7 linked regions of the Nothobranchius furzeri genome follow. The protein of the gene in region 2 interacts with the protein of the main gene of each other region in a pairwise test. Links are inferred from orthologs where the notes say so. Each region holds a gene or a part of one and is shown on either strand. Other genes may lie near its edges. The genes, in order: crmp1, htt, pparg, txndc11, hoxc4a, ttc23 and zbtb16a.

What was found.
Region 1: the proteins of htt (region 2) and crmp1 interact in binary tests that used the Homo sapiens proteins (3 or more experiments, as listed by UniProt). The link is inferred for Nothobranchius furzeri from reciprocal best matches to the Homo sapiens genes HTT and CRMP1.
Region 3: the proteins of htt (region 2) and pparg interact in binary tests that used the Homo sapiens proteins (3 or more experiments, as listed by UniProt). The link is inferred for Nothobranchius furzeri from reciprocal best matches to the Homo sapiens genes HTT and PPARG.
Region 4: the proteins of htt (region 2) and txndc11 interact in binary tests that used the Homo sapiens proteins (3 or more experiments, as listed by UniProt). The link is inferred for Nothobranchius furzeri from reciprocal best matches to the Homo sapiens genes HTT and TXNDC11.
Region 5: the proteins of htt (region 2) and hoxc4a interact in binary tests that used the Homo sapiens proteins (3 or more experiments, as listed by UniProt). The link is inferred for Nothobranchius furzeri from reciprocal best matches to the Homo sapiens genes HTT and HOXC4.
Region 6: the proteins of htt (region 2) and ttc23 interact in binary tests that used the Homo sapiens proteins (3 or more experiments, as listed by UniProt). The link is inferred for Nothobranchius furzeri from reciprocal best matches to the Homo sapiens genes HTT and TTC23.
Region 7: the proteins of htt (region 2) and zbtb16a interact in binary tests that used the Homo sapiens proteins (3 or more experiments, as listed by UniProt). The link is inferred for Nothobranchius furzeri from reciprocal best matches to the Homo sapiens genes HTT and ZBTB16.

The regions. Positions count from the first base shown.
Region 1 is NC_091747.1:78,390,003-78,393,502, reverse strand, and holds part of crmp1 (dihydropyrimidinase-related protein 1), read left to right. Parts: intron 1-1,935; coding exon 1,936-2,077; intron 2,078-2,147; coding exon 2,148-2,318; intron 2,319-3,500.
Region 2 is NC_091746.1:25,540,601-25,544,100, reverse strand, and holds part of htt (huntingtin), read right to left. Parts: intron 2,458-3,500; coding exon 2,316-2,457; intron 2,231-2,315; coding exon 2,051-2,230; intron 1,981-2,050; coding exon 1,804-1,980; intron 1,715-1,803; coding exon 1,638-1,714; intron 1,532-1,637; coding exon 1,396-1,531; intron 1,238-1,395; coding exon 1,115-1,237; intron 1,041-1,114; coding exon 833-1,040; intron 745-832; coding exon 599-744; intron 1-598.
Region 3 is NC_091743.1:63,419,906-63,423,908, forward strand, and holds the start of pparg (peroxisome proliferator-activated receptor gamma), read left to right. Parts: upstream 1-1,203; 5' UTR 1,204-1,504; coding exon 1,505-1,556; intron 1,557-4,003. UniProt on the Homo sapiens protein: Nuclear receptor that binds peroxisome proliferators such as hypolipidemic drugs and fatty acids.
Region 4 is NC_091744.1:14,534,559-14,537,985, forward strand, and holds the end of txndc11 (thioredoxin domain-containing protein 11), read right to left. Parts: intron 3,175-3,427; coding exon 2,987-3,174; intron 2,899-2,986; coding exon 2,786-2,898; intron 2,388-2,785; coding exon 2,307-2,387; intron 1,987-2,306; coding exon 1,500-1,986; 3' UTR 501-1,499; downstream 1-500. UniProt on the Homo sapiens protein: May act as a redox regulator involved in DUOX proteins folding. The interaction with DUOX1 and DUOX2 suggest that it belongs to a multiprotein complex constituting the thyroid H(2)O(2) generating system.
Region 5 is NC_091755.1:25,844,131-25,848,305, reverse strand, and holds the start of hoxc4a (homeobox protein Hox-C4a), read left to right. Parts: upstream 1-1,375; 5' UTR 1,376-3,665; coding exon 3,666-4,101; intron 4,102-4,175. UniProt on the Homo sapiens protein: Sequence-specific transcription factor which is part of a developmental regulatory system that provides cells with specific positional identities on the anterior-posterior axis.
Region 6 is NC_091744.1:70,192,242-70,195,741, forward strand, and holds part of ttc23 (tetratricopeptide repeat protein 23), read left to right. Parts: intron 1-3,041; coding exon 3,042-3,213; intron 3,214-3,285; coding exon 3,286-3,391; intron 3,392-3,500. UniProt on the Homo sapiens protein: Participates positively in the ciliary Hedgehog (Hh) signaling.
Region 7 is NC_091750.1:30,173,795-30,177,889, forward strand, and holds the start of zbtb16a (zinc finger and BTB domain-containing protein 16-A), read left to right. Parts: upstream 1-1,295; 5' UTR 1,296-1,428; intron 1,429-4,095. UniProt on the Homo sapiens protein: Acts as a transcriptional repressor. Transcriptional repression may be mediated through recruitment of histone deacetylases to target promoters. May play a role in myeloid maturation and in the development and/or maintenance of other differentiated tissues.

The sequences.
Region 1 (3,500 bases), on a different chromosome or scaffold from region 2:
TAGTGTGATGCAGAATAAAAATCTGATCAGTGAAAAGGACAAACGGAGGAAAAGTGAAAGTGGACGTTTGAAGGTAGTTTGACCTCTGCAGCGAAGGACAACACATCTGTTATGACCTCCCCTCCTCAACTCCCGCTGAACGAGGGGCCAGATTTCATGACTTGCACATGTTTAAAGCTCGATTCTGCCGAGTTAAGGCTAAAACCTCAATTTTTCATATTTTTACACAAACCAGATCTGCAGGGTGTCTTTCACATCCGTCAGGTTTATGGATGGATTTTAAAGTTTCAGATCGAGCTTTTCCTTTTGCTCTGCAGTTGAGATGTTTTGTATTTCCTGAAAAACGTTTTGCATGACTCTGAAAATGTGCAGCCTTCACTTTGAACTTAAAAAAAAAAAGATTAAAAATGTACAAAAGGAAGAGAAATGTTCAAAAAGACAAGGACTTTAGTAACAACATTTTATCAGGTAAATTAATGAAAAGTAAAACTAATCTTTATGAAAATGACAAATAATAACACTCAAAGATGGCTACAGCTCGGTCTGTTATACAGATGTGGAGCTGAACTAAGATGTGCTTTTAGCTGAAAGTCTTTCGCATCACAAGCTGTGAATAATAAAGATCAGGCATGAACTGCAGATACTGATTTCATTATTTAAAATATATGACCCAAACCATTTTAACTACCATCCTTTTTCACCTCTAGATGGTTTTACTTATCTCTGACTCATAGCAGACTTCTGATTCTGAAACAAGTCCAGATGTGTAAACGATTGTGTCGGATTAGGATTAATTAGGATGTAACTGTGTTAAGGTTAGGAGCAACACACACACACACACACACACACACACACACACACACACACACACACACACACACACACACACACACACACACACACACACACACACACACACACACACACACACACACACACACACACACCAGCAACTTCCAGCTGCACACTTTCAAAGTGCCCTCGATTCCATAAATAGCACATGGACCTAGAGTAACTCATCATCTGCTGTCTTGGCTACCAAGCGTCTCCCTCCTCCTCCTCCTCTTCCTCTTTGTCCTCCTCTCTGCTTAGCCACACTTGATCCACAACTGCAGCTTCTCATGCTGCTCTGAGGGTTTAACACCGCTGTTTTCCTCCAGCGTCCTCTGAAATGACAGAGTTATTTTCAGGTTCCTATTGAGAGATGTGAACACTTTATTACGCTGGCTCATTATTGCTATAATAAGCAATCGCTTTGCGTTAGGATGATGATCATACAGCCGAGAATAATCACTATGATCAATGAGTAAATTACAGGCCTCACACCAAAGATTATGATAAACACTCTTCTCTTGTACAGTAAGAGGTAGAATGGGTGTGTGTGTGTGTTGCTGGTGTTTTAATAATGCAGTGCATATGTATGTATTAACAGAGGCTCTAGACAGCAGCACTGCAGCTGTGTTGCACCATTCTGACACTTTCAGCTGACTGGTTTTAAACACCAAACCTCCTCATGATGTGCACATTAAATTACAGGCTCACTGAGGACACCTAGTGGCTGATTTATCAATAACAAAAACCCTTTTAACCCAGGCGTGTCCAATCCTGGTCCTCGAGGGCCGGTATCCAGCACGTTTTCGTTTTAACCTGCTTCAACACACCTGATTTCAATCAGCAGGTGATTAACAGGCTTCTGCAGAGCCTGATGAGCTGCTGCACAGGTGATTCCACCAGCTAATCAAGCGTGTTGAAGCAGAAAAACCACAAAACCTGCTGGTTACCGGCCCTCCAGGACCAGGATTGGACACCCCTGCTTTAACCAAATGATCAGCATGAAAACTTTTTTTTTTTAGTTTGGTTCCTGATTTTGCCTCCTGCTGTGGACATTTCACATTGATCATCAAATACTTGAGTCACTGTGTTTCGTGTCCACAGCGGGGACCTCCAGGTGGTGGGCAGCTCTCACTGTGCGTACAGCACCTCCCAGAAGGCGATCGGTAGAGATGACTTCACACTGATCCCAGAAGGAGTCAACGGAGTGGAGGAGAGGATGGGTTTTGTGTGGGACAAGGCTGTGGTAAGGAGGGTTCCTGACAGTGTGGCTGTGAGTTTGTAACAGAGTTAATATCGACTTCTATGACACTCAGGCCATGGGGAAGATGGATGAGAACCAGTTTGTTGCAGTCACATCAACCAACGCTGCGAAGATCTTTAACCTGTACCCACGTAAGGGACGCATTGCTGCAGGCTCCGACGCTGACATCGTCATCTGGGACCCTGACAGTGTCAAAACCATCACAGCGAAACTCCAGCAGTCGGTGAGAACTTGGGAAGAAAAAGGGAGATGGATGGAGGACAGTCAGGAAGAAGAGTGCTAACCCTAACCAATCATCCATCCATCCATCCATCCATCCATCCAACCATTTTCATCCACTTATCCGGAGTCGGGTCACGGGGGCAGCAGCCTAAGGCGAGAGGCCCAGACTTCCCTCTCCCCAGCCACTTGGGCCAGCTCCTCCAGGGTAATCCCAAGGCGTTCCCTGGCCAGGTGAGAGACATTGTCCCTCCACCGTGTCCTGGGTCTACCTTTAGGCCTCCTACTGGTTGGACGTGCCCAGAAAACCTCACCAGGGAGGCGTCCAGGAGGCATCCTGACCAGATGCCCAAGACACCTCAACTGGCTCCTCTCGATGTGGAGGAGCAGCGGGTCTACTCCGAGCCCCTCCCGAATGACCGAGCTTCTCACCCTATCTCTAAGGGAGAGCCCAGCCACTCTTCGGAGAAAAGTCATTTCGGCCGTTTGTATCCGCGATCTCATTCTTTAGGTCACTACCCAAAGCTCATGACCATAGGTGAGGGTAGGAACGTAGATCGGCCGGTAAATCGAGAGCTTCACCTTCTGACTCAGCTCTCTCTTCACCACGACAGACCGGTACAACGCCCGCATCACTGCAGATGCAGCACCAATCCACCTATCGATCTCACGCTCCAGTTTTCCCTCACTCGTGAACAAGATCCCGAGATACTTAAACTCCTCCACTTGGGGCAGGACCTCCTCCCTGACTCGGAGAAGGCATTCTACCCTTTTCTGAATCAAGACTATGGTCTCAGATTTAGAGGAGCTGATTCTCAAGCCCGACTTACTGCCGGCAATGCGGACCAAGCTCTGACACCGGTCATACAGGGACCTAACAGCCCGTATCAGAGGGCCTGGTACCCCATACTCCCGGAGTACCCCCACAGGGTCCCCTGAGGGACGCGGTCAAACGCCTTCTCCAAATCCACAAAACACATGTAGACTGGTTGGGCAAATTCCCACGCACCCTCCAGCATCCCCCTAAGGGTATAGAGCTGGTCCAGTGTTCCACGGCCAGGACGAAAACCACATTGCTCCTCCTGAATTTGAGGTTCAACAATCCGACGGACCCTCCTCTCCAGAACCTCTGAATAGACCTTACCAGGAAGGCTCAGGAGTGTGATCTCCCTGTAGTTGGAACACA
Region 2 (3,500 bases):
ACGTGTTAGGAGATCGTTTTGGGCCGCTGCTGTAAAAAAAGTGAGGTGCGAACCGGAAAAGCCTCTGCCGATCACAATTCAACAACGGATCATGAAAGAACGGATAACGCTCGAAACACGCGCATTCTTCCTGATGTAAGAGGTGAGTCTCCGCTTTGTTTTGGTAGTTTTGGCATCGACATCATGCTAGCGCGCGTTCTGTGACTCTTAAAAAAAAACCAGTAAAAACGGTGAGAAACGCTGGCAGTGAATGAGTTCATGAGGGACGACTGTTTGTGAAAGTTTGTTACATTTTGAATTCTGACTAAGATTCAACTGTTTTATCACACCCGTCGGGCTAATAAACACAGTTAGCGTGGAAATGTGGAAGTTAGAAAAATAAAAGCTGAAAAAGTGGAATTTGGGAATAAATAGAGGGTGTGATCAGGTCCTGGAGCAATAATGATGTTACTTGTTACGGCGTCCGGTTCATCGCCACACCAGAACGCTCAGAAACATCGTGATAAATGTTTTGGACCATCTCGCCCACAGCCGTAAACCCGTCTCATTAGCGAATCACCACTGTGTGCTACTGGCGGCCCGACCCCAGCCGGTTTACCTCAGCAGCCGTGCAGGTGAACGTGGTGATGAGCTGCTCCTTATCGGGGGGGATCTGCAACGATGGCGGCAGCTGGCCGACGCCCAGCAGGTACTGGGACAACGCTCGGCAGAGCGACAGAACCTTGGGATAAAAACTTGGATCATCTGGAAACAAAAGGATAAAAAAGGAAATTCCCGTTTCTTCTTTCCTTCATTCGTCTTGAGTCTTATTGCTCCGCCTCCTCACTCTCACCGTACACGCCACCCAGATGGTTCCAGTAAGGCTGCGGTTCCGGCGGTGGCAGGAAAGGCTGGTGTGGAACAGGAAGTGACCCCGTGACCTCTGCTAGTTGCTCAAGGGTCACCTGCAAGGCCGTGTCCAACAGGAGTGACCCCTGACCCCGCGTTAACCTCTGCAAGCCCACGCTCAGGCTCGGACACAACAGGCTCGGGTTGAAATCCTGCGTTCAGTAAGAATCATTACAAACAAAACTAAGCACCAGGAAGTGTTCCGATCCGCCCGTTTCCACGTCACCTTGCAGCTCATGGTGCTCAGGAGGTCCGGAGGAGGTAGTTTGGTCAGAAGTTCGGTCGTCTCCAAAAGACAAACGTCTCCGCGGAGACAGCACTGGGACTTCACAAGGGCCACGTACCATTCCTAAATAAAATCACAACAGCAGCCCAGTTTGACTGTTCTCATTCCAAAGTGAAAAATACAAAGCTGCAGTTTTCCTCTTTTCCCAGGATCACGGTTCCCTGGATGCTCCACAACTCATTCTGCAGATTTGTTGCTCCGTCCAGAATCTGAATCCTCACCTTGTCAGCCACGATCTTTTCCGGGGCGGGGGGTGGCTCCCCGTCTAAGGGGTGTGGTGTAACTGGAGGGGCGGGGCTAGCGGTGTCGGTCACAGTGGCTCTGAACCTGTCCAGCAGGGAGTAGAACCTCTGATGCCTGGCGGAGACGGGCAGAAGACAACATATTCTGTCATTTTTGAGTTTGAGCACAAAAATAATCAGCAGAGACGCTCTGATCCAGAACCGACGTTCTGGGAGGATACCTCTGGGCCAAACCGCTGGTCTGGAGATATTCCTGGATTCTTTCCAGCTCCTCCACAGGAAGCTGGGCGACGCTGTTCTAAAGGATCAACGCTGACTTTCAGTTTCACTGGTGGGATGCATTCCAGACCACTAGCACAATCCATCAGACAACCTGGTGAGCCTTACCTGCAGCGTCTCCGCCAGCAGCATCTCGACTCGGCGACACGCCAGCGTGTCGACCATGCGAGCTAGAACCCTGAAGGGAGTCCTGAGCAGCTTGTCCACATAGAGCATGAGCAGAGATCCGGACTGACTCAGGTGGATGCCTTCCAGACACTGCAGCGTCTTCTTTAACATGGTGGGCTGCACACACACACACATCAGTGAAGGACTCTGGGACGACAGGGAGGTAAGGAGTTAAAAGTCGCCATACCGTGGCGAGGTTGTCGCAGCGGGACTGGATGGCCTGGATGAAGAGGCCGCTGGCGGCTGAGTTTCGGTGAACAGCGCTGATGAAATCCTGGACAGGGGGCTCGTGGGAAAGGCTGATGAGGTCACGGACGTGGTTGACAATCAGCCAGGTCAGATGCTCCGAGTCGTGGAGGTTCTGACACTAAAAGTAAAAGACTTCATGTTAAAGTTGCTTCATCTTCATCCTGGCGGGAAAATCGAATCTCCTCCACACGTGTAAGTCTCACCACGTAATCACAGAAGAGAATTAAGGCTCCTCTGCGTACGATCTCCCGGTTGACCATGGCTAACTGGGACTCTGGGTTTTCTTCTTCCTCTTCCCCTGAGGAGTGAGGACTCAGCAGCTTTGTGGAGGACAGGCTGTGTCCCCTGGCAGGAAGTAGAAGACAAAAGCAGCCATTTTTAAAACATTAATAAGAAACACCAGGGGTGTTTCTCAATGTCAAGGCGCCTGGCCTTGCGAGGCGATGTCTCGCGAGGCCAGGCGCCTTGCTTACGAGGACACGGTCCTTCCTTGCAGGGTATATACAGCAATCCTTAAGTAAAATTTACTACTTTTTAATACTTTTTTTTACTACCTTCAGAATTTTTTTAAAACCATCACAACACTAAATTGCAAGTGTTAATCAGCGACCTATTTACACATATTTTAACATATATAACATACAAAAAGCATAGACTTAGAGACTCACTGATGTTGACAACGTATTGCGCATATTTATTTTACTTAGAAAATATGCCAGGCACTTCTTTTCAGCGGTTCAGACAGTTGACCACGGGGCCTGAAATGATGCAGAACGACCACTGAATATGACGTCATCATAATGTGACCGGATATGCTAAAGCAGGGCTGCTCAATTATGGCAAAAACAATAATCACGATTATTGTGACTGAAATTGAGATCTCGATTATTTAAGACGATTTTTCAATTTATGTAGATTTTTTAAATTTATTTTTATTCAGTCATAAAACTGCTCAGGGCACAATCAGGGCAAAAATAAACAAGAAACAAGATGATCACTAAAAGAACTCCTGATTCCCAGTATAAAAAGACCAATATACTTATAGCTCATAGTTTATGACCCAAGGGCTATAGACCTTGGTTTAACTCATTTAAGTCTAACCAGTACAGACCCAAATACCAATATCTTGCAAATACTGACAGCAAGAATTATACAGTGGCATTTATAACAAATAAATGCAAATAAATTAATGTTCACAAAATGTTGCATAACATTTATTTAGTCATGTCAAGGTGCTGTAGGAGAATACACCAGCACAGTGTCCTCAGAGAGATTAGTTATTAGTTATCAGCGTGAGGAACTTATTTCTACCTTATTTATAAACTATTTATTTACAAGTCCATCAGTTAATGTAATAATTGTCCCAACCACAGCTGCACCCCCCACCG
Region 3 (4,003 bases), on a different chromosome or scaffold from region 2:
AAGTCCCGTGTGATGTTGTGACTATCGCGCGACTTTCCAAGAAGTGTCCTGTGTGACCACTTGACTTCTCAAAATCTCGGGCGGCTCATTGGTATTGGCGGAGATTTTTAGACAAATGCAAGAGAACCACTTTGTTTTATGTATATATTTTATGTATTGTACATGTACCTTTGTTATTATTTTTCTTCAAATTATTCTCTTAAGTGTTGGTGGTGCTGTAACAAGTGAATTTCTCCACTGTGGGATCAAAAAAAGTCTATTCTATACTAGTTGTTTATTTATTTATTTATCATTCTCCACAAAATATGTATTGCTATACTATGTTTAAATGTTGTTAAGGGGCATGGAAACATGTTTTAAGCTAATTTGTTTTCCAAACTTGCCTTTGCAGCTTTAACTTGACTAAATATGCTAATATGAGGAAGTAGCTGGCCATGGCTAAAAGTGTGGCTAGTTAGCCACAAACCACAATTTAAAATGTGTTCAGCTTCCTATGAGCTCCATGCAGCTTTGATGTGCTGATAGGTGAGATCAACTTTAAAAAATACATTCATTTTATTACACTTATAGGTTGTTTCTTGGTGCATGCTGAGCCATATTTGACTTAATAAACAACAAATGTTTCCTAAAACATTAGTTTATGATTAGCTAGAAGATTTTGCAGTTTTTCTGAAAAATTCCGAGTTGATGCCAGATTAAAGAATTCATTTTGTGTGATGCTATTTCACTCATTAGGTGCCTTATAAGATCCACTCTCATAAATAAAAACTTGTAACAGTACCTGTGTTTTCTGCGCATAATAAATCAGTTTAAATAGATCCGATTAAGTAAATCGGAGCTTTAGAAGGTAATTTGACGCCTTTTTATGTGTCCTTAAATCCCTGGAGGTTGAGCCGAGAGGAGGGAGGGGAGAGACGCACCAGGCAAGGCTCACACACGCACCGTAGCAGCAGCAGGAGCTGAGCGCTCCACAGCGAACGGACCCGGACCCAACCACACTGCTGCGGCTGTTCGGTGCCCAAGCCCCCGGTTCCAGGGGGGAGGCGAGCTAAACACGACCGAGAAAGTGCGGTCCAACACCGGAAACGCAGCCCGTGGACTCTCTCTGTCCTCTGCGGTTCAACACACTGATCAGGTCAGTCACCCCCTTCTGAGTTCACTATTTATTGTGCTTGGAGTTGTGGCTGCTAGGAGTAATAAAACACTGCAAACGTCATAAAAAGTAAAGTAATTCAGAAGACTGGGTTTAAGTGTCTGCATCAGTTTTTGTGTCATTTTAAAACAATAAGGATAACTTTTAACTTTTTGATTTCATACTAAAGTTTTACTTTTTTCAAACATGTCGACTTAAGGTGGACACTTCCTAGAGAGTGACAAGTAGCCAGTGGCGTAGATTGGGGGTGGCGATAGAGAGGGGGTGCGGCCACAGGGCTGACAACTGGCATGCACGTCAGGAGTTGGTCCAGAGTGTGTCTCTGGGCCACAGTGCGAGTGTGAGCTTGACATGCAAACACCAGGCAGAGATTTTCACCATCTAAGTGGTCACATCTTCTCAGGTAAGACCAGGTGATGCCTGCTGTTGGGTTCTAGTGTTTTAGAGTGTGTGTGTGTGTGTGTGTGTGGGGGGGGGGGGGGGGGGGGGGTCACATGTGCTGATTCACTGTAGATTCTTCTACAGTAACTGCTACATAAGAGTTGTGACTCAGCTATAATAATGTAGACTGACACAGTCACTCCTGTTTTTTCCACTTTGGGTTTTGATGAATTAATTTTGAACTCATGTGGGGAATAAATCTGATCTGTTGGTTTATCCTTTAATGGGACTGATAATGGTGAAAACAAGCTGCAAAATGGAAACGTGTTATAGATATCAGTCAAAACAGTAATTATGATCAGAATATTTAATAAATGCTTAGCATTACCAGATGTAAATCATCACCTTTTACTCCCTTTTGACATTTTGCTCACTAAATTTGTGCTCGGTGTCATTTGTATTTTCTGTATTATGTTTTTTTCTTGGAACGTTATTTTAGTGTTACTTTTTTAAATGTACTTGTTTTGTTCTTATTTTAGTCAGAGTTGTGATCTGGCGATACACAACAAAACAATCACTTAATGTAGGCAAATATTTAGCTTCAGCAACTTTGTTTAAAATTTAGACTAATATCTTTAAATCGAGTTTTCTGTACTTCTGATTATCAATAAACTGCTGCAGGTCAAACTCTGTCAAAATGTCTCTAAATCAATAAATAGCATTTTAAAGGTTAACAAATTATTATTGGGTTTAAGCAAAATTGTCCATCAAACATTCCAGATGCGATAGGACGAGTTTATCACTAAGCTGATCATAGTTTATTATGTCCTTTTTTAAATGAGACAAAGCATAATACATTTTTTATTGAGTGATTAATTATCAAGGCGTGTTTTTGTATTTATAAATGCACCTTCAGGTAAAAGCATAAATATTACTTTTATTACAGCAGCAGCTTGGTTTATTTTAAGTATTATTTATTTGAATGCAAGCATTTTCATCAGCTATTCATTTGGAAGAAATTGAGTGCAGTCCTGAAAGTTTTGCCTCGGATTCTGGTGTCATAAATCTCATGCAGCTTGAATCAGTAATACTAGCTCAGGTAAAAAAACATCCTGTAATCTTTACATAAATGACTTAAAGTCTAACAGCAGCTTCGATACAGGCGTTGATGCAACTGCATGCCCTAAATCACTCATTTATCAGGTTATATAATTCTTAGAGTAAGGTGCGTCCATGTGTTTGTTGGTGCATGTGTGTATGAATGACTGAGACAGATTCGGACTTTGTTCTGTTGTCGTAAACGAAAGGAGTGCTTCAAGATACGTTGCTATTTCTTTGTTGTTGATCACTCGCTTTGTGGATAACACACCTGCACATAAAGCTATTTTAATTGTGTGCTAAAGAGTTCAAGTTACTTCTTGTCACTTATTGTCATTTTTGAAGCTTTCTATTGATGTAAAAGAAAGAAATATCAACTTTTTCTGCCACAACCTTTTGGAAGGTACTTCAGTCACCTACAGTTTTAAGAGCGAAATGTAATCGCAAAAGGAAGGAAGACTGTCTAAACATCTGTTTTTGCATAAACATTCAGATAAAAGAGAATGACATGCTCTGGATGAACCCACAGATAATTAACCACTTTTGCTTCTGCACTGCCAAAATCCTGCTTTGTTCATTTTAATTTCATGCAGTGAATAAGTGTTTTAAAAGGCTTTTCTGATTAGGTTTCATCAGATAATGCTGGCGTTTGAAGTGGTTTAACCCTAAGGTTGTCAATTTATTTTTAAATTAGGTGTAATTATTAACTTCAGGGCTATCATTTCATCATTTTCTGTCTACGAACCGCAACATTTTGGCTGCAGATGCAAACTTTTATTGACACCAAACAAAACTTTGGACACTGGCAAGTTGTTTGCTAATAAAACTTTTCTGTACTTGTTAATCTTTTGTACTTTGACAGAGAGATGTGTGATTAATTAAGTACGCATTTTGCTTTGGGCTCCAAAAGAATCATTATTAAAATTATTTTGTCATGTTCCGCTTTGAAAGTATCCTTCTATTTAGTCATGCCTCTTTTCATGGCACATATTTCCACAGTTATGTGACGTACAGTGTGTGATGTGCAACATAAAATACTCAATTACTTTCAGTTATGACCCAGCACTCACTATGGCATTGCAACCATTATTTATTTTCCATACAGTTCTTTTTCCAAGTATGGACACTCCTGGAAAAAACACATTTTGATTGCACTGTCTCCGTTTGGACTTCCAGGCTCCCGTGGCAGCTATTCTCATCTCTCAGCTTTGCTCTCAGTTCATCATAGTTTCTCCATGCAACCGATCAGTCAAGAAGAAAATTAGATTTGATAAGTTAGTATCTACATAGATTTCACACTAATGACTGAATGTTAGGTTTTTTTAATTATATTTGATGATAAGCTCTATGATGAATTAATTTTGGTTTCAT
Region 4 (3,427 bases), on a different chromosome or scaffold from region 2:
TAAAACAATGACTTTGACTTTTTGTTTTCAATCAAAAAAAATAAAATAAAAAGAACAAATGATACAGATTCATCTTCTCTGCCCTGTTTTAAAGCTCTTTCTAAAACCCATTTGTGGGCTTGCTTTGAGTTTTAACCATCGACATAATATACGTTTTAACGTGGCATGAGTCATTTAGTTTTTATGCTGTTTTTTATTCCGTTTTAATTCTGTGGAGCCCTTTGGTCAGTTTGATGCTGTTGAAAGGTGTTACAAATAAATTTGACTTGTCTAAACGAAGATGGATAACGATCTGTTCAGTTTGCAGCAGTACACGACCCTGCTGCTTTAGATTAGGGATGTTACATTTATTATTTTCTACACGGGAAAACAGAATTCAGGAATGTGGTCTTCCCTGCATCTTGCAAATCCTCCAAACTTCTCATCGATGCATTACTCATGTGATGAAGCTCAATTTTGTGTTTAAGAACCACAACAAAGCACACAAAAAAAGACTGAAATACGAAAAGATTTTTTATCAGAAAAAGTGGTGCAATATTTCACATGTAAACACACCTGCAGCAGTTCAATCTTAATACCTGAATAGTTACATAGAAATATTTTAGTGACTCGAATGTTTGTAAAATCAGTGTAACAAACTCATCATTAAAACCCCTTCATAAAAAAAATCTGAAATATTTTAAGTGCTCCTAAAACAGTCAATTTACTTTTCTTTGTTCAAAAGCTCTCCTGATTCATTTAAAAGCAAAATAAGCCTTTTTTTCCATCTCCTGCAAATGATTAAATTTTTAAGAGAAAGCCTGTGCAGAGTGCTGGATAATGAAAAAGGAAAATTCACCAAAATAATCCAAGCATGAGTGTAAATGATTCCAATCATTAGTGATAAAACTGATAAAAGCATGCAGCGAACTGCTTTCAACGTTCATTATAACCAATATAAAGTTGACATGATGTGGAATTTTCAAAATAAAAGTATCTGTATGCATTTTAATCCTCAGTGAGTATATTTATTTGCTTTTGAAAGAAGCCCAAAACTTCATTTAACACAACAGAAATATTAAGAAAAAACTCATTTGTGCCCCACATTTCTAATAATTAAAGATCCTTTTTTTCACCAACATTTTAGTTAAGTACGCTCACTGTAGACACCTTCACTAAAAAAATATGTTTCCAAAATTCAAACAAATCTGAGAACAGACTTATTTTGTGGCACGACTGTCGTAGTGTTGATTTGATGCACTTAGGTTTCTAATAATGCGGGGGGGGGGGGTGCAGCATCAGAACAGAAAAGTGCAGATAGGTTTGAATTTCCAAAACTAGCATGCTTCCATGAGCGCTTCCAAAGCACTTTGTAGGATTTTTCCCCCCGTGACATTGATCAGGTCCTCACCCCGCCCAAACAGAAATCTGCTCTTTTTTATTTGGGTTTTACTCGTCCAATCACAGCTTTTTCTCCTCCCCCCTCTTTCCTTCACTTCCAGGCTTTGTTTCTGTTCCCTTCATGAGGTCATTTGGCCTTTTTTCTGTTCTGTCTGTTTTGTTTCCTCCTTAGTCTGCTCCGTAGCCTGTGTCCTGTCCTTCAGCGCCTTCAGAAGGATCCTGAGTAGTGTGTTCTCATTCAGCAGGGTTTCAGATGTGTCCACCAGCTCCTCCAGCCGCCTCAAAGCTTCCGCCAGCTGCTGGCTTTTCTCCTGGAGCTGCTTCTCCAAGCTTTCCTCAATGCTGCGTTTGTCAAATTTCAGTTGTCGGTAATCGCGCCAAAGCTGCGCCAGCTGTTGGGAGAGACGCTCGCGGGCGAGATGTAGAGTTTGAACTTCTCGTTGGAGAGCCAGAAATTCTGCGTGGAGGACGGCACTGGCTCCTTTCCTCTGTGCCTCATCTGGTTTGTCTTCATGACGTAAAGAGTCAGAATGCTTCAGGATGAAGCGAAGGAGATTGGGTAATGTGACCGGAAGCTCTTCTGGAAACTTCACACTAAGGTGTTTTCTAAAAGAGAAGCAAGAATGACAAACGCACAGTCTAAAGTAAGAAATAGGAGTGAAGTAGCATTTTTTATAAAGCAACATTTTATTTTTCTATCCGTTTCTTGGTGAGAGGAATGTTCTTGTTTTCCTCCCTTCAAGCAGGAAAAAGCGTCTAATGTGGAAAAAGAGTAACAATAGATTTACTGTAGTGACAGAAAAAAAGGTCTACGCTATTAAAAACAGAGAAACATACCGACAGTACAAATGATGCTATAAATAAAAAAATTACTATTCTATCACGATTTTATTTTACATATTAGGAGGCGTCACACTGGTTCTTACCTGTATCTGGGAAACAGAAGGATGGAGGGAACATGATCCACCATGAACTCCCAGGGAAGGTCGTTGCGTGCCACGTTCACCCTGAACAGAGTCGTGTGGACACATTGACATGTTTGTTTCTGTGATTGGCAGCTTTTATGGAAATTTTATATTTCATTACTTTAGTCCTATTAACAATGTCCTGAAAGCATTCTCACACACACACACACACACACACACACACACCCACACTCACACTCTCTCACACATATGATCCACTCCCATTCCTTTCTTATCTTTTTGTATAAATTAACTCTGTGACCAGATGTTCGGGGCATTTGCCCTGTGCACTTGCCACAAATCATGATTTGGTTGTATGTCTGCCTTATTGTCTCTTGTCCCTCTCTCTAGCTGCAGGAAATGGGTTTATTGATAAACATATTGATAAAATCCCTAACAGCAGCGATCAGACTACTGAGTCCATCAGAACCAGACTGCACCTGGCCACGGTGATGGTGCGGTTTCCCTGCAGTAATCTGGCCAGCCGGATGATGACGTGGTTCAAAACGGAGCAGAACCCACACCACTGGGTATAGTAGAACAGCAACACATCCTAAAAACACACATGACATCATCTTTATTATTTAAGAGTGTAATCTGACTTCTGTATCTAGAACCCTGAGACCAGCGTATTCCCTCACCTTTTGATGGTCCATGATGGAGGGCAGGAAGGAGGAAGTGGTCAACTCTGTGATGAAGAGATGTGAGGGAGAGTGCTGGGGCTCGTCTGGATGCTTGGCTTCATCTCCACCTTGCCTCCTGTCTTCCACCCCTACCAAATGTCTCTGCAGGAGGCTGAACGGAGCGCTGAAGTTCCTAATGAAGGCCTCTTTAAGGAGACACATCATAAACAGATATCAGCTGATGCTTGTGCTCGAATAAAACCAAACCAACATGAACTGATCACGTTACGACTGTTCTAGTGGTATTTAAACTGGTCCAGTCAATTGTTATTTATTTGATCATGATGAAATCCTCCACGATAACAACAATGATCTTTACTGATGGGTTGGGTCTGGATGAGTCATTCTGTCTAAAACATTTAAACCAAGAGCCTTTTGTTTGAAGCCAAACATGTGGTT
Region 5 (4,175 bases), on a different chromosome or scaffold from region 2:
AGATGAATTTTGTTTGTAATGTAAGTGTGTGAACATGATTGTACAACTGTTGTTTTGAACTGAAATTGGGGTGAGAAGGGGATGTGGGGTGTGGAAGAGAACTTAACAATTTCTCAAATGAACAAATGAAACATCAAATTAGTCTGCCTCAGGCTCTCATTTTTTGTACTTTTACATTATAACTAGTTATTGAACTAGGTGCATGATCTGAAAGCCATTTGTGGGCAGAAAGAATTCATTGCTGTCACTCCATCAATAATCCTTGGCAGTGAACTATTGGAACCAGTCAAACGCAAGGGGTGAAACGCGGGTCAGGCTGTCTAACTAATATTAAAATGCGTTCGCCTGAGCACATGGCGTGTGTGTGTGTGTGTGTGTGTGTGTGTGTGTGTATGTGTGTGTGTGTGTGTGTGTGTGTGTGTTGGCTGGCTACACAACAAACATCATAGATTTAAATGCAACACGAGAACCAAAAACTTCCGTTTTTATCATTTTATTGTTCTTATTTCTTTCTTTTGCTCTAATGTCCATTTTTATTTCCTTTCTTACGTGTTTTTAGAGCGATTCTATCAAATATTTATCACAGGACGAATAGGCATGGTGGAATATGTAGATGAAGCTTTTCCCCTGTCAGTGTTTAAAATCCCATGTGCATCTGCACTGTAATCAATTCCATTGATTCACAATCTGAGCATGTTTGCTGTTTTTAATAACCTCGAAGCAGGTCACATGTCCAATATTGCATTTTTCATCCGAGGCTTTTCTCATTAGCTTCCAGAGTGTCAGGAAGAAAGGTTACCGAGCGGTCAGTATGGTAATGGCGAGCAGAAGAAATGGTTGGGAACAATAGAAACTTATTTTTCATCTGTGCTGTCACGCCGTCCTTTTGTATCTGCTCCGTGTTTGTGGCTGAATATTCATATAGGAGCGACCTCAAAGGCAAAGGCAGAATGCTGAGAAGAAAACACTGTGTGTGTGTGTGTGTATGTGTGTGTGTGTGTGTGTGTGTGTGTGTGTGTGTGTGTGTGTCTGTCTGTGTGTGTGTGTGTGTGTGTGTGTGTGTGTGTGTGTGTGTGTGTGTGTGTGTGTGCGTGTGCGTGTGTGTGTGTGTGTGTGTGTGTGTGTGTGTGTGCGTGTGCGTGTGTGCACAAGTGTGTGTGCGTTGATATATTTAGGGAAAATATTTACCCGCAGAACAAACATGCAGCTATTTGTTTATGTCCTCGTCTCGCTTTTACGCACGCGCTTTGGAGCGTTTCTGCTCTACTGCAGCCATGAAATTTGTTATGCACTGATGTCAGATGTGATAACCTGCTTGCCTCCATGTTTTCCCCCGGACAGATCAACCTCTGCAGCGTCAGTAGTTGTCTATATGTACCCTGTAGAACCGAATTTGCGTGCAGTAACAACAATCGCAAATACGTCTCTACAGGAATACATGGGCAACTGAAATACCACGCCAATGGATTGTTCTGCATCTGCTCTTCTTTCTCCTCCCTCCTTTCTGCCTTTGCATGAACAAGCATCAGGATACACCCAGGCAGTAGCAGTGCAATAACACGGTCACAGTGTATTCATAATCCACGCTGCCGTGGATTGTGTGGGTTTAGGCCACAGAGAGCGGAGCCATGTGCGCAGAGTGCGGCTACTACTGTGTCAGAGCCTGTAAAACACGTTAGAAACCAGGGGTCATTTAAAAGTGACTGATTTACGGCTTTTATTGCTCTATAAAACGCCTCTAACATCCTCTGTAGGGGTAATAGAAATGTCGTGAGCATTCTTTACAAACAGTACAGCCAGAAATATGATATGCACTTTCATATCGTTTTAAACTTATTATGTAATTATGGCTTTGGAAATAGATCCCCTGGCTTGTGTGGTTCTGCTGACCAAAACACTGACTCATATCCCACTTCAGTACAAATGTAAAACTTTATTATTATTATTATTATTATTATTATTATTATTATTATTATTGAATCAGATTAGGAGAGAATACCTTTGAGATAATAATGGGAAGCCATAGCCCATGACAGGTTTACACAGCCAGGCAGCATCAGTTTACAGGGTCAGGATTAGCCTTAACATCTGAAGGCTGCTTCCCTAACAGGCAGCTGCGATGAAATATCACCAAGTAGTTCCAAATATTTAGATGCTTCAAATAGCTGTTTCCGAGTGTTTACTTACATGTCACACGATCATCTGGTGTTATCTTAAGGCATTTTCTGTATTTTTCATCAATACATTATCTCTATTTAACACCACACACGAAAATATTTAACTGTGTAGTGGTCTATTGAGCTCACATCATTTTACATTTGAATGTAGGAAAAGAGTCTGTTTAGTGTTTAGAAATAGGAGAAATGTGTGTTTTAGGTTGAGTTGGACATCATAATCTGGGAAAAGAATAAATCTGGTCAATAAAAAAAATAGAATGTTCATTAATGCAACTTTTTGCCCTAAACTGTGATTTTTATCATTAACTGGTTAAGTCAGCAATTCCGTTCCTCCCTATTATTCACAATATTAGTTTTGGACTCTTGGTAAAAAGACACGATTGGTTGTATTGAGACAGATTTATTTATTTATTTATTTATTTATTTATTTATTTATTTATTTATTTATTTATTTCAATAGTGCTGCAGAAATACAGTATTCAATGATTTTGTATTTAACAAATGCAGACACTTTTCTGTTAAGGAGTCATGTTTTCAAAAGCAGAAGTGAGTTTACATGATGTTTATACTTGTGTGTTTCATGTGTGCTTTAAAGCCCAACTGCTCAGTGATTAGCATTTTATTTCCCTTTCTTATGTATCAAGTTGTTGACTGTAGATCTGAGCATTCAAAACATCATTTGATGAAGCAACGTGATGTAAATACATTTGACTTCTGACTAAATTAGAATTTTAAACACACATAGTTTTAAGTAAGAGCCTTAATAGAAGATGTGAGATCATTTAAACTCCTTGCAGCTAAATTGGCACATTTAGCCTGTCCACCTTAAATGATTAAACCTATTTTGAAAATCTAGTCACACCTTTCAGCCACCTCACCTGTCCAGTGACTCTATAGAACCTCTTCCAGTTAAATATCATGTGACTAAAGAGGGGAACTCTGCAAGCAGCTCTAATTCCTACCGGATTGTGATCTTTTTCCCAGCTGAAGCAACGTTGATAAAGACTCTGCATTCATTAATTTGCAGATAACCTTTGCAGAAGGTGTGCAAACCAACAAAATGATTGTTTCTCTTTTGTTGTGCTTTATCCTTGGCGAACCATTGTCCCTTTGAATAATTGGGAGCTGCACATTTTGCCTGTTTTATTTTTTCCTTGGTCAGCAGCTACTAGTTTTGTCCCCAAGATCAATTGCCTTGGTAACAAAACCAGAAAGGGGGAGAAAGGAGAAGAGGGGGGAAGGTAAGGGAGAAGGAGGGAGAGAGAGACCTAAGCGGAGAGGAGGAGAGAGAGAGCTTTGTGCCCACAATGGCGACTGTAGGTATGCTAAATACCTCTGGTTCCGTATCCGGGAACTACCTCTTCCTCTGCTATTGGGCTACTGGGTCACGTGGTTAAAGTAACTTTACAGGGCTGCTCGCAAGTAGGAGGGCTTTATGGAGCAGAAAAACGACAAAGCTAGAAAAATTATTTTCCACTCCAGAAATTAATGATCATGAGCTCGTATTTGATGGAGTCTAACTACATTGATCCGAAATTTCCTCCGTGCGAGGAATATTCGCAAAATAACTACATCCCAGAGCATAGTCCAGAATATTACAGCCGCGCAAGGGACTCTGGCTACCAGCATCACCACCAGGAGTTATATCCTCCGCGGGCGAGCTACCAAGACCGCCAGTTTAACTGTGCAAGCATCCCTGAACCCGACACGCCAAGGGGACATGGAATACCCCATTCTGCGCACCTGCTGACAGGAAAAGGGCAGCCTGCATCATGTGAAACCCCACAGTTGTCCATGTCCCCCGCCACCCCACCGGCTGCAACCTCCGCCTGCAACCAAGCTACCCCGGAGCATCCAAACAGCACAGCCTCCTCCAAACAGCCTGTGGTGTACCCATGGATGAAGAAAATTCACGTCAGCACTGGTAGGCAACTTGTGTGTTTATGTTCCCTGCACTCCTCCCGCTCCTCTCTTCCTCTGCCTTCCTTTATCAGCCCC
Region 6 (3,500 bases), on a different chromosome or scaffold from region 2:
ACAATCGCGAGCATAAAAATTCAAAACTCTGTTAAGTCCCTTTGAGGCATGAAAAAAACCATTTTAAGCTAATTTCTTTTCCAAATTTGCTATAGCCACTGTAACAATGTTGACTGAACAGTTTCAACTGAGCTTCTAATAGTGGCATGAAAATATTTGAGGGTAAATCTTAGAATTTAACTTAGATTAATGGATTTTGCGTCAACGTTTCTTTTGTTTTGCCATTTAGATTCTGCATATAGCAACAAAAGGTTTGGTTTATAAACTTAGGAAGATATCTGTGTAAACCCTTAAATCTGTCAATTATGATAAATAATTTACTTTAATAAGAACAGAACTGTATAACTTTTCCTTTTGGCTGAATGAGATATTTTCATTGTACTATTTTTAAGTGATATAATATGCAATCGTAAAGACTTTTAAAACCTTTATCCACAAATCAGAAGAAGAAAATATCTTTTCTACAGCACCTCTCAAGATAAAAATCACAAGGCGCTTCACAAAAACAATAAATGTAAAATATAAAAAATAATTTAGAAAATCATTAAAAATATATTTATAATGAGCAAAAAATGGACATTTGTGATTAAAAAATGTAAAGAAAGAGAGGGAGTGAATAGGAAAGAGGGAAATCAGTGGATCCTGAGGGTGGAATAGGTGGGGAGAGCAGAACAAGGAGAGGGCGATGAAGGTCACACCAAAACCAGCTTGAACAGGTGACTTTTCAGCTGCTTTTTAAATCAGCAGCTTTTGGGCCATTTAAACATCTGCCTGTCACTCCTAAACTCTGAATAATTAATGTGCACAATGAGAAAAGGAAGCTATTAGGGGATTGCAACGCATTTTCAGATTGCTCTTTCCTTCATTTGTAATTTAAGTAAGAAATGGTATTTTTTAGAAACAGTGAAAGTAATTACATAAGCACTGGAAATAATTAATAGAGGACTGTAGTCAGTGTTTGAGAAGCTGATTATTAAAAATAATAATTCTCTTCATAATAATACGTCAATGTGACCTTTGGACAATATTTAATTACTTTAAGGGAGTGAATTACTTGTTTATTCACATTGGATAACAGCAGTGACGTGCGGTGAGGTTCATGGCTGGGGAGGCACTGACTGCTTTGGAATAAATGATCCTGAAATAGAAGCTTGTGTTTTATTTTTGACTTTGAATTAAATGTTTTGTTGGTTTGATTTAGCGCTGCATACCCTTGATACAGGAAGTTGGAGCATGCATTATGCCTGAATCAGTTAATGCGTGTGAGGCAGCTCCGTGAGAGCAGAGGCAGGCTCGTCTGTCTCCCCAGAGATTCAGCAATTTTTACCATGAAACTGATGAAATCATACAGAAAACTAATGTATAAACCAGTCAGTGGATACACTGACTTTATTTTAAATCATTATTAGAATTTTACTTGTCACACTGACAAGGGAGGCAGTGCCTCCCCTGCCTCCTCTGACCGCACGTCACTGGATAACAGCAACACAACTCTGCCACTGACTTGGAACATGGATGTTTTATCTCCACAGATAACACAAGCCCAGAGGATTTCTTCTGTGAACTAAAGTGGCTAAAGCTAACGGTTAGCTTAAACTAGCCGAGACGTTCTCTGCTGTTTCCTGGACGCTAAACCAACAACTGATTTCCCATGAGTTGAATGTTAAGTCACGGTGTGATGTAGACCTGTGAGGATTTTTAATCCTAGAGTTTCACCTTCTGTTTTCTATCAGAAGCTAAGGCAGAGATGGGTGTAAGAGACTATTTTCATGTTCAGCATGCATGAAAATCTCAGAGTGACCAATAATAATCCAAAACAACATTTAAAAATGTTTTTTCAGTGTTCCACACCTTTGAAATCTGCCCAAATTTAGTCTATTGAATTCAGAGGTAGCCATTCTTTTAGTTGGAACCATATTTGTGGTAATACATTTTCTTCTTCACCTGCATGCACAAGCTGTTGTGTTTTTGTCCCTTCTGTTTCATTTTCCTGTAGAAAATGTAGCAAATGCACGTCAGCCATCGTCTGGAAACATTTACAATAGAGCACAGTGTGGCTTGCTTGGCAGCACATCTACAAATCCTTAATCATATTAAATTCCTGTCTTTTGGACTCTGCATTAAATTGCCTGTCTGCCAAGGTGCAGAGGCTGCAGACATTAACCTGGCAAAAATAAGAAAAAGTGTCCTAAAATGGTCTGAAATGCCAGCCCAAAAACCATTCATGGGTGGGGAACTCCTTCTGTCCATCAAAGCATATTAATATAAACTTAGACTCATGGGAATCTAAACTTTTGTATTGTTTACGTAACCTGTTGCTTTAAAGTGACTGAGCCACAAATACTTAAAGTAAATGTCTAAAAAAAGGATCTTAGATTATTTTTGAGTCTGGATTCTAAATCAAACCTAAATCAAACATGTGACCTGTTTTAAAATACAATACAGTGCAGAAGCTGAGTTCTTTCAATATTTTCTGTTCAGATTGTTCAGCGGTGACCATTTTGCCCTCTGAGGAAGGCCAACCCATTTCTTGGAGAGCTGGATTAAATATAGTCCATTTGAAGCTGTTAGCACAGCAGCCTTTTTCAGCCATCCAGGATAGCACAAACAAAAATCTGTGTTTTTATAGAGTGTCACATCTGCTTAGATGATTTCTCTTTACCCTCCAAAAGCATTCCCTCATTTAGACATCCTTGAGTAATATCCTTATGAGTGGATTCAATCAAAGTTTGTTACAGTTGTACCGTGTTGAGTGTTAACTGCAGCCATGGGCCAACTCTTTCCTCAGCTTGGCTGGAGATTTACTGCAGTTTTATGAAACCAATTCACAATGACGTGATAACTGGCATCTCTTCCTGGGCTATATTGTAAACTAAACAAAATGTGGCGAAATGTAAAATGATATTACTGCTGTGCTGTTTTTTTTAATAATTATTATGTGGAGGTGAATAAGGATAGACATGTTCTGCTGTCATTTAATTATATTTTCTCTTATGTATACTGTCCCTTTTGTCTTTTTAAATGTCCCATATGTCCTATAGTGTCTATAAGAGACAGGGCCGACCAGAGGAGGCATTGAATCAGTGTGAAAAGTCTCTGCGGCTGCTGAAGGAGTGCAATAAGCCAGAAAAGACTTCTGCTGTTTATAAGGACATGGCCGCCATTGAACAGGACAGAGGTCAGGTGGATCAAACCATAGAGCATCTCTCCAAGGTGAGTAGCAACACACACTCTTGTACTCTTATTTAGTTGATCTGTCTTGTTGGACATGCGTGTTTCTGACAGGCTCATGCCATTGCTGTGAGTCATAGTCCAGAGGGTCTAGAGGGGGCTCAGATCTCCCACTGCCTGGCCATGATCCTTTCTTCTGCAGCAGAGCCTCATCACAATGGTGAGTTTATTCACTGACAGAGGCAAGGTTACAGTGATTCACACAGGGGGCTAATTAGGATCTAGATGTTGCATTAAGTTCTTTAAGACAGCGGTATAGGAGTCAGGCA
Region 7 (4,095 bases), on a different chromosome or scaffold from region 2:
TACAGATTTGGATGTTGATGGCTTTGATCCGCGTGTGACCCCCTAAAAGGAAGTTGTTCCTACTTGTTTCATCTCTTTTATTCGTGTGTGCAAACACGACCAACTCTGTGCTGTTAGGACGTTTCTTCAGGATTGTTGCACGTCTTTGGGTCACTTATTGTGAAATGCTACTGAAACCTGACAGCACATTCAGTTTGTTTTATAAAAATGACCCCAGCTTTGATCATGTTTTCCAAATACATCTGTTCATAAATGATTGAGTAAAAAAGGCAAAAAATAAAGGTTTATTTTTGCTAAAATACATAAAGCAGTTGTGTTTATTCACGTCCTGCACTTTATTTAGTCTTCTGTCATTTTTTTAATTTGTTAAATTGCATTTTAGTAAATCTCGGTTTGAGTTTGGACAGCAGACCTGAGCTTAAATCTAAAAGTGTTGCAGTTAATATTTAAATATTTGAATTGAAAATGAAATAAATCTGGGTTGTAGTGGATACAGACATGAAGGCAGCAGGAGGTGGAGCGGGTTGGCGGTGTTGCAGGATCGATCTCAGCTCCTGGCAAAGAGTGCTGCTGTTGTGTCCTTGGGCAAGGGCAGCTGTAGCCACAATGTAGCGCATCATCACCAGCTGTGAATGTGTGAATGGCTGATTCAGGTTCTGGGACTGGTGCCAGATTAAACACAGGCCATTTTCCATAAAACACTTCCCACCTAATTACAGAGCTTAGACACTGATGTTAGGTCAGTGAGTCAGGTCTGATGGCTCACAGGAAACCATCAGAAGTATTTAGTTTCGATATCCGAGTGCTCCGGTTTGCAGGGATTTTCTACATTTTAAATAATCCAAAACTTTATTTTGGCTCTTTGAAAATAGTTTTGGGGAAAAGAAAACTGAGGCAGAACAGGGACGGAAGGACGGCCAAACTCGGACCTCAGACAGAGTTGATTGAATCAAAAATACATCAAATCCAAACATTTAAAAAAGCAGAATTCTGAAATGATTCAAACGATCAGATAGTTCTTGGTTTTGTGTCGGAACCAGTCTGGGGGTGGTGAGCAGGACTTGTTGGGGTGTGACTCCTGAACCCCTGAGGTCCTCTAAAGCCCAGCTCCGTCCCTGTGGAGCTTCAGCCCAGCTCCTGTGGGCGAGGACGCGTCTCGCCTCTCCCTGGCCTCCAGTAACACGCCCGTTTGGCCGGAGACAGTCCCCTAGGTGTCTCACTTTCTCTCTGCTCGGACTGGAGCGCCGCGGCGGCCGCCCGCCCGCCTGCTGCTCGTCTGGCTGCGTTGACGTCAGCGGCGTGTTGATTCGCTAAGGCGAGAGAAGAAAGGAGTTAGTGCGTGTTGAGAGAGCGGGTACTGCGAACTGCCTTACTATGCTGTAGCCCCAGTCCCCCGCGCGCCACACGGACTCCAAACCTGCAACTTAGGTGAGTACCGACACCGGACACGCGGCTGCCGCTTCCCGGAGACAAGTGCCGGGCTCGCTCCTGCGCGCGCGTGTGCTTCATTTAGCGGACTTTCATTCACCATATGGATGTTTTGGGTGCGTTTGTTGCGCTCGTCCTCGGCTGACCTTCCGGTTTCATGTGCGTTTTCGTGCTGAAGTTACCAGCGACTTGGCAGTGGGTCGCGCGCGCCTGAGCGAGTCCCGGCTGAAAACAAGTGTTTACCTGATTGCGCTGCAAGGTGTTAAAGTTTGCATTAACGCACGGCAGCCTATTGCGGAGGCGCTAGGGTTGACGTAAGCCCCCTCCTCGCGCTCCTGTCTGGTTAGTATTCTGGAGAGCGGCGAGAGGACGTGAGGTCTGGCTGTGTTCACCGGGAGCCAGGCGGCTCGTGACGCCGCGCTGCGTGTCCCTTCCACGGACCGATGGCAGCGGTAAAGCGCGCGTGACGTCCCATTCCTATCCCCTCTTATTAATCCGCGGTGTGACATCACGGCGGCTCGAGACAGTTGCACCAAACCAGCGTGACTGCGCTGTCAGAGCGGGATTGACTGACAGCTAACTACATGTTTGATTAGTTCCCAATAATCGAGCTGCACGCGCCGCGCGCGCGCGCGCTGGTAACTGATTCAAATGGATTTGTTATCGAATGTGTCTGATCCTCCTCTTCCCCTTTCACTCCTTCACATCCTCACCGAGATGTGGAGCTGCCACCTGCACGCAGATCGGACCGGAACCAGGCTCGCGTGCACGTTTATGACCACCACACCCCCCACCACCAGACCATAACAACGCTCCCGCGCCTGGGGTCCGTCCGTGCGGCTCTCGCGCTGGATTATTGAACGCTGTTTATTCTTGTTGTGGCTGCGGCTCGTCAGTGCGCGCGACGGCAGACAGCTCGTGATCAGATCGATTCCGATGCTTCTCTCTCTCTCTCTCTCTCTCTCTCTCTCTCTCTCTCTCTCTCTCTCTCTCTCTCTCTGAAGTCTCTTTATTTGCTCGTTGTCCTCGCGGGACACCATCTCCACCGGCTTAATGTACTTAATGTAGTCTGCTGATTTGCGTAATGCTCGTGTAGAATGGGTCTGCAGCGGCTGGCCCAACATCCGCGCGCTGTCTAGACGCTCCTCTCTATTAATGGAGAGCAGACACAAGTGCCTGAATGGGAAGTTTGGGCTGCTCCGATGCGCGCAACAAGCACCGATCACGTTCAGGGACACAAACATTACTGATGATAATGTGGTGCTGGAGGCGTGAAGGGGCTGATCTCGGTTAGATGGGGACCTGTGGGCTCATCATTAGTGGTTTTTATTTATTTGGTTAGCCTGATGCTTTTTCTAATCTAAACTCGCAGCTCTGAGTAGAAAATGACAGGTTTGTAGTCATTTTTCTCCCAAGTTTTTATGTTTCAAGCAATAATTCAACTTATATATTTTATTTTTCTGCATATTTTATGATACTCTCATCATGACATTAAGCACTTGTAAAATCCTGCTCTAAAGTGTTAAAGTTAAAGATGAAATACACCGATTCTGATTTCTAAGGCTGATACCTTGATGATTTTATCTGATGATACTCATTTTTTTTCTCCAAACCAACTGAGACCCAGTCACTTTTTAAGATGGACCCGGTCATAAACCTGATTACGTCCATGGTCTCCTGCGCCAGAGCGAGGAAACAAGAAAAATGACAGAATTTCCATGTAAACTGCAGTCAGCTTTAAAACGCTGAGGATGCATTTGCACGTTTCTTTTTTGACTAAAAACTGCTGAAAAGTTTCTGTCATTGCTCATGAAGCTGACTGAATCAGTGAGTTCACCCAGAATGTGGGTCAGTTGAGGTGGTTAACCAGCATTCATGCTTTCGTCCTCCGGTGGGGCAGACCATTAAACCAGACTAAACCAGAAGCAGCCAGAGGCGTCTATGTTTTACGTCCACGTTCTGCTAATTCAGTCTGAACCTGTCCTGGTTTATCTGGCGCGGGTCAGACGCGCTCCAGTAATGAGGTGGAGCAACACGTTGCCCTGTTAACGTGAATAATGAAATCACCAGCAGCCACAGAGATGTTCATTCATTTGAGATTTCAGCGGCTGAGAGCCGAGCGGAGCGTTTAAGTGCAGCAGTGCTTTTTGCCTCATCCTGCTTTTCTCTTCCACCCCTGTCTGGCCGCTGCTCTCTGCTCCCGTCTGTGATGGGAATACTGAGTAAGATGCTATTTAATGTTGGGAAGGCTGCTGACGGTCCCTGCGAGCCAAGCAGCAGTGAAAGCCCACAATGCTCCCTTGTTTAACTGCACGTCCCCGTCAGATAAGCAAACGAAGACATCTTTTAACGTAACATATGTCAGGTTGATTGGTATGCAGGATGAGCCTGTTGGACAGCTAACAAATCGTCTCCCTTCAGAAAATACTGTCAATACTCGGCGCTGGTCTCCAGAACAATGCCGCTGCACAGATTGTTTACCAGCCCTGCAGGATATTTGCAATTTGAGACTCCAGCGGCTTCCCGTTTTTCCCGTTTACATAATAAACCGGATCCTTTCATGGTTAAATAAATACACATATTCTATAACCGGTAATTGAGCTGATGGTTCTGCAAATATGACAAATTGGCAACACTTGTTGACTTTAAACACGAATGGTTTTCCTT